Callithrix jacchus: one gene and its partner. The protein of the gene in region 1 purifies or fractionates together with the protein of each later gene. This does not show direct contact. Links are inferred from orthologs where the notes say so. Each region holds a gene or a part of one and is shown on either strand. Other genes may lie near its edges. The genes, in order: CASP10 and FASLG.

Region 1 (4,535 bases):
TTACAAAGAACTCAAACGGATTTACAGGAAAAAAACAAACAAGCCCATTCAAAAGTGGGCAAAGGATATGAACAGACACTTTACGAAAGAAGACATATATGAGGCCAACAATCATATGAAAAAATGCTCATCGTCACTGGTCATCAGAGAGATGCAAATCAAAACCACATTGAGATACCATCTCACGCCAGTTAGAATGGCGATCATTAAAAAATCTGGAGACAACAGATGCTGGAGAGGATGTGGAGAAAAAGGAACACTTTTACACTGTTGGTGGGAGTGTAAATTAGTTCAACCATTGTGGAAGACAGTGTGGCGATTCCTCAAGGCCTTAGAAATAGAAATTCCATTTGATCCAGTAATCCCATTACTGGGTATATATCCAAAAGGCTATAAATTGTTCTACTATAAGGACACATGTACACGAATGTTCATTGCAGCACTGTTTACAATAGCAAAGACCTGGAATCAACCAAAATGCCCATTGATAATAGACTGGATTGGAAAAATGTGGCACATACACACCATGGAATATTATGCAGCAATCAGAAATGATGAGTTCGTGTCGTTTGTAGGGACATGGATGAATCTGGAGAACGTCATCCTCAGCAAACTGACACAAGAACAGAAAATGAAACACCGCATATTCTCACTCATAGGCGGGTGATGAAAAATGAGAACACATGGACACAGAAAGGGGAGTACTAAACACTGGGGTCTATTGGGGGGAAAAGGGGAGGGCCAGTGGGAGGGGGAGGTGGGGACGGATAGCCTGGGGAGAAATGCCAAATGTGGGTGAAGGGGAGAAGGAAAGAAAAGCACACTGCCATGTGTATTCCTATGCAACTTTCTTGCATGCTCTGCTCATGTACCCCAAAACCTAAAATCCAATAAAAAATAAAAAATAAAAAAAAAAATTTCATGGGTCGGCTGCTCTGTCTATGGAGTAGCCATTCTTTTGTTTACTTATCTAATACATTTGTTTTTACTAAAAAAAAAAAAAAAAAAAAAAATTACGTAAATAAATGTTTCCATCTGACAAGTTTATAAACTACAGTATCCTCTATACTAAACTTCATTATAATCAGAGGAGCAATGCAGTGATAACATTTTCATTGTAATATTATTTATTCTATAAGCACTTGAGGTATATAGTCATTATGCAGAACTTCGCTATTTTTAGAAACAGGAAACTACTTTCTAAAGGAAGGAACAGGCAGTGTGCAGTGGCTCACACCTATAACCCCAGCCAGGAGTTCGGGATCAGACTGGGCAACATGGTAAAACCCTGTCTCTACAATAAATACAAAAATTAGCCAGGCATGGTGGTGCACACCTGTGGTCCCAACTACTCAGGAGGCTGAGGCAGAAGGATCATTTGAGCCCTGGGGGTGGAGGGTCCAGTGAGCCATGATCATGCCACTGCACTCCACCCTGGGTGACAAAGGGAGACCCTGTCTCAAAAAACAAACAAACAAACAAACAAACAAAAAAACTGCTAGACCTCAGAAGGAAAGAATGGTTTTAGACAAGAGTTGCTCAAATCAATGTAGGAAGTTGAAAATTACATGAGTCAATGTTTCCATCTGACTAGTTTATAAACTACTGTATTCTCTGTACTAAATTTCATTATAATCAGAGGAGCACTTCATGAGGCCAAGGCAGGTGGATCACTTGAGGCCAGGAGTTTAGGACAAGCCTGGGAAACATGGTGAAACCCTGTCTCTTAAAAAATACAAAAATTAGCCAGGTGTGGTGGTGCCTGTGGTCCCAGCTATTTAGGAAGCTGAGGTGAGAGGATTGCTTGAATCTGGGAGACGGAAGTTGCAGTGAGCCAAGATTGTGCCACTGTACTCCAGCCTGGTGAAAGAACGAGACTCCGTCTCAATTAAATAAATAAATGAAGGAAAGAAGGAAGAAACACATAGCAAAAATCAAAACCTCCATAATAAGGAGTAGTTATATCGAGATGGCATAACTAGAGATAATACAAATTTTCTCCTGGGCTTTCAACTGAATTTCTCAAATTTTATTTATACATGAACATACACATTAATTTCAGTGTTAAAAGAAACAAAAAATGGTGGCTCACGCCTGTAATCCCAGCACTTTGGGAGGCCGAGGTGGGCAGATCACCTGAGGTCAGGAGTTCAAGACCAGCCTGATCAACATAGTGAAACCTCGTCGCTACTAAAAATACAAAAATTAGCGGTGCATGGCAGTGCATGCCTGTAATCCCAGCTACTTGGGAGGCTGAGGCAGGAGAATCACTTGAACCCGGGAGGTAGAGCAAAACTCTGTCTCAAAAAAAAGAAACAAAAAATGTCATTTTAAATGTGATGATCCAGGGGATCTTCCCTGCTGCTAGCCCTGAGGTCAAATGAGTGGTTTCCTGGACCTGTTTCTATTCTACCACATCTTACATTTGCCTTGTGGTTTCTTGACAATTCCAATTTCTAGTTTTAATGAGTCTGCCACACTTTGTCTCCGGGAACTAACATATTTCTGCCGGTAAAAGGCTATGTTGGAGGCTTCTGGATTTTTGAACTTTTGTTTTCCCAGGCATGGCAAAGAAATCTAAGCAGAAATAATACCATTGCTGACAAGTTTTTGCAAGTTTCTACAACATGAAGCCATGAAGCAAAGGAAAAGATCCAAGCATGAGACTCTGTGGTATTTAATTACATACCTTCAGATCAGGCTCCACCAATCCTCTGGAGGTAAACGATTCTCAGGGAAATTGCCTGAAAACAAAATTTTAAAGAAAGTAGAATCCTCTATGTGCTCCAAGGTCCAAGGAAGCTCCCAATTTCGCGGGAAGAGACTTCAAGACTTGCTGGCTGTTGAAGTGAAAACTGGATCCTACTGGGCTGGGTAGCCTGATACTGATTTCCTGCCAATGTCGTCACTGCTTATTTGGCTTTTTCCCTCCCCTTTTCCAGGCTTAAGATAACTGACAAACAGCGTCTCCTAAAGGCTAATTTACAACTTTCTCACTGTAGAGCTTGGGGTTTCCCCATGTAAAGCGAAATCTTCCTAGAAATGAACCCACGGAAGCCATGAAGTCCTCCAGGCTTTCCTTAGGATCTCCATTTTCTTGTTAAGTCAAAAAGGGAATCTATCTATAGTTGGTGGGAAAAGAATAAAAACAAAACAAAAAAAAAAGAAAAGAAAAAAATGGGAAGCATCTATTTTTCTAATCATCTCCTTCCCCAAACACTTAACTTTTCAAATAAAGTCAAGTTAACCCTTTCCTTAGTCCACATGCAAATAAACAAATAATTTTTTTTTTTTTTTGAGACTGAGTCTTGCTCTGTCACCCGGGCTGGAGTGCAATCGTGCAATCTACACTCACTGCAACCTCTGCCTCCTGGGTTCAAGCAATTCTCCTGCCTTACCCTCCCAGGTAGCTGGGATTACAGGCACACGCCACTATGCCAGGCTAATTTTTTTGTATTTTAGTAGAGATAGGGTTTCACCATGCTGGCCAGGCTGATCTCGAACTCCTGACCTCGTGATCCACCCACTACAGCCTCCCAAAGTGCTGGGATTACAGCCATGAGCCACCACACTCAGCCAATAAATAAAATTTTTAAATGATAAAAGAAAAGTGGGGATTCACTTTCAGTCTTTGTGGGAGAAATTAAGAAATAAAAAGAAAAGGGGAAAAAAAAGAAAAGTGGGGATGGTGAATTACAAGCCCATTTGGAGGTATCTGCAAGAGACTCAACCAATTAATGGTAGACAAAACTGACAGTGCATGTTCTCACAGCACATTCAAACCAGAAAAAAAGAGACTTTGAAGACATTATTTCTAATAAAACAATACTGAACACTTGCTTTTTTTTCTTTTTTTCTTTTTTTGAGATGGAGTCTTGCTCTATCACCAGACTGGGGTGTGATCTCAACTCACTGCAACCTCTGCCTCTGGGTTCAAGTGATTCTCCTGCCTCAGCCTCCTGAGCAGCTGAGACTACAGGTGCGTGCCATCACACCCAGCTAATTTTTGTATTTTTTAGTAGAGTCAGGGTTTCACCATGTTGGCCAGGATGGTCTCAATCTCTTGACCTTGTGATCTACCTGCCTCGGCCTCCCAAAGTGCTGGGATTACAGGTGTCAGCCATCGTGCCTGGCCTAATACTGCACACTTCTATTGTAACTACCATGTGCCATAGGGTATTTACAAATTTTTACTCATTTCACCATCCCAACAACACCCCAAGATAAAATACTATTACTATGACTCCTGCTCTAACATGTGAAAACTACAACACAGAAAGGTTAAGTAATTTTCCCAAGGTCACACAGTGAGCTACTGGGAGGGCCAAGATTTAAACCAGCAAGTTTGGCTCAAAGTCACTACACTATAATTAAGCTACCTCAAATGTGCAGAACTCTGGAAAGACGTACAGAGTCTTAGAAAGATGTTTTATCTCTGGGGGAAAAAGCAAGATTATGATGCTTTGATTAGCAAATGTATTAAAAAGTCCTTTCCATGTCCTAGGCATCATTCGGAGAACTTCCATGAAAGACAA
Region 2 (3,031 bases), on another chromosome or scaffold:
CATTTAACAGGTCTGTATCTGGAAGGTACAGGTGGGATTTGGGAAAGCTTTTGGCAACAGGCAGAATAGCTGCTTGGTTTCATTACTGGGCCCTAGAGAGTTGTTACTTCCTGGTGACAGTATTTGAACCCAACAATACTAACATCTTTCTTGTCAAGTCAGTCTTGCAAACATACTTTGAGCCCCTATTCTCTGGGCAAGGGCCTCTTCTAAATTGGAGACCTAGAGCTAATTATGACATGACCCCTGTACATGACCTCACTCTTTTCAGTCATTCCCAAGTCCCTTGGGGATTGGGGGCACAGATCCAAAAGGTGAGAGCTGAGAAGGTGAGGAATGAGGACTTATTTTCATCAGTGCTTTCTTGGTTTTCTGGAAGAGCTTTACTCTGTTTTGTCCAAGAGTATAAATAGGAGTGAGAAGGGAAACTCAGTCCTGGCACTTGTCAACTTTCAGCCTGTGCCTGCAAAGTGGTGTGAAATGATATGGTATGGGCACTCCCATTGTAAACTTCATAAATAACTGAGAAGTGGATAAATATCACAGAAAGTGGTAGGCTATTGTCCCTGGTATTATTTAGGCAGAAACTGTAGAATGATCCAGTCAGATCAGCAGACACTTATTGAGTACCTGCTGTGTGCCAATTTTGGGATGTGAAGATGAGTAGCACATGGCTCTTGCCCCCAGGGAGCTTGACATCTAATAGGGAAAGACAGGCACTTATGATGATTTTAGTACTGCAGAGATTTGGGTTATGTTCTTGATGCTGTGGGGATACAAAGAAAAGGAAACTGTAGCCCAAATTGAGGAGCTGAAAAATTCTTAACTGCAGGTGAGAAGATGGACCAGATGGTTCCTAAGATCCTTCCCAACTTTAAGACATTAGAGTTCCTTGGATTTGGCTTTTTCCTTCAGGAAAGGACCTCAATGCCTAGCAGTTTTGGTGTTAGTTCTGAAAATAATAAAATCTTTGTTCCAGAGAGCTAATATTTTCTAATAATTTTTTACTGCAATTGATTGGGATATATACTATTGTTCTAATTGTGTGGATGACAAAACAGGACAACAATGTTTAAGAAATTCTGTGATGGATCAAGTTCTGGCCCCTCAGCCGGTTCTATATAGGCTGTGTCATTCCGGGTAAAACATTTGTTCAAGGAAGGACCCGCGGTTTTCCCATAGAAACTTAGTTTGTTGGATGCATGACATTCCTGGCTGAAAGCTCCTTTTGAATTTATTTCAGGCAAGCCCAACTCAAGGTCCATGCCTCTGGAATGGGAAGACACCTATGGAATTGTCCTGCTTTCTGGAGTGAAGTATAAGAAGGGTGGCCTTGTGATCAATGAAACTGGGCTGTATTTTGTATATTCCAAAGTATACTTTCGGGGTCAGTCTTGCAACAACCTGCCCCTGAGTCACAAGGTCTACATGAGGAACTCTAAGTATCCCCAGGATCTGGTGATGATGGAGGGGAAGATGATGAGCTACTGCACTGCTGGGCAGATGTGGGCCCGCAGCAGCTACCTGGGTGCAGTGTTCAATCTTACCAGTGCTGATCATTTATATGTCAATGTATCTGAGCTCTCTCTGGTCAATTTTGAGGAATCTCAGACATTTTTTGGCTTATATAAGCTCTAAGAAAAGCACTTTGGGATTCTTTCCATTATGATTCTTTGTTACACACACTGAGACTGTTGTATTCAATGACGGTCTTCTTAGGCACATTTGAGGTCAAGTAAGAAGACATGAACTAAGTGGACCTTGAGACCACAAGGTTCAAAAGGTCTGTAGCTCCTCACTCACCTAACGTTTATGAGCCAGACAAATGGAGTAATAAGACTGAAGAACATCTGGGCTGCCATGTGAAGAGGCAGAAGCATGGAAAAGCAGCTGCCAGATGTTCTACATTCATCTTCAGTGCCTGAAAGTATTTGGGCACATTGAAAAGGACGCCTTTTAACTCACTTCTCAGGGTGGGCCTTGCTACCTCAAGGGTGACTGTCTTTCTGATACATGGTTGTGACATGAGTGTTTAAGGGATGGGAAAGGAGGACTAGAGGCTTGCATAATAAGCTAAAGAGGCTGAAAGAGGCCAACACTCCACTAGCAGCATCTTCACTTCTAAACACATAGCCTGAGCCATCGCTGATAGTAACAGAGAAGCAAGAGAGATATTTTGAGGACTCATTCCATTCCTAACACAGCATGTGTATTTCCAGTGCAATTGTAGGGGGTGTGTGTGTGTGTGTGTGTGTGTGTGTGTGTGTGTAACTAAAGAGAGAATGTAGAGATTGTGAAATACATATTAGGAAAATATGGGTTGCGTTTGGTGATAGAGTTTGAATGCTTCTTGACAATAAACTCTAATAGTTCTTAAAAATCATTGATTTTCAGCTACTGATGAAGTTTTCCTAGAATATAATAAATATTTATATAGATGTACATTTTTGGGAAAAGAAAATGTAATATAAAGCATATGTTAGGATACAGATAATTTTTAGCAAATATTTTACAAATATTTGAATTTTTGCATATTATTTCTTTTTTCCATGGTTTCTTTATTCATTACGATGCCAGACCACTTTAACAAAAATTTATAGGCTGGGCGCGGTGGCTCACGCCTGTAATCCCAGCACTTTGGGAGGCCGAGGCGGGTGGATCACGAGGTCAAGAGATTGAGACCGTCCCGGTCAACATGGTGAAATCCCGTCTCTACTAAAAATACAAAAAATTAGCTGGGCATGGTGGCGTGTGCCTGTAATCCCAGCTACTCAGGAGGCTGAGGCAGGAGAATTGCCAGAACCCAGCAGGTGGAGATTGCGGTGAGCCGAGATTGTGCCATTGCACTCCAGCCTGGGTAACAAGGGCGAAACTCCATCTCAAAAAAAAAAAAAAGAAAAACAAAAATTTATTGGGGTGAGAAGAACTATGAGGCAATCTTTTCACCTTTGCCAGGTCTTCCTTCTCTCTATATATTTTTTTCCCTCTTCACCTCCCAGAGGTTTCATTACCAATATTATGACCAGTGTTA

Evidence for each region.
Region 2: the proteins of CASP10 (region 1) and FASLG purify together in Homo sapiens (co-immunoprecipitation; 3 studies listed by BioGRID and IntAct, with this or other methods). This does not show direct contact. The link is inferred for Callithrix jacchus from reciprocal best matches to the Homo sapiens genes CASP10 and FASLG.

The regions. Positions count from the first base shown.
Region 1 is NC_133507.1:122,266,842-122,271,376, reverse strand, and holds the start of CASP10 (caspase-10), read right to left. Parts: upstream 2,868-4,535; 5' UTR 2,690-2,867; intron 1-2,689. UniProt on the Homo sapiens protein: Involved in the activation cascade of caspases responsible for apoptosis execution. Recruited to both Fas- and TNFR-1 receptors in a FADD dependent manner. May participate in the granzyme B apoptotic pathways.
Region 2 is NC_133519.1:30,102,909-30,105,939, reverse strand, and holds the end of FASLG (tumor necrosis factor ligand superfamily member 6), read left to right. Parts: coding exon 1-10; intron 11-1,243; coding exon 1,244-1,638; 3' UTR 1,639-2,380; downstream 2,381-3,031. UniProt on the Homo sapiens protein: Cytokine that binds to TNFRSF6/FAS, a receptor that transduces the apoptotic signal into cells. Involved in cytotoxic T-cell-mediated apoptosis, natural killer cell-mediated apoptosis and in T-cell development.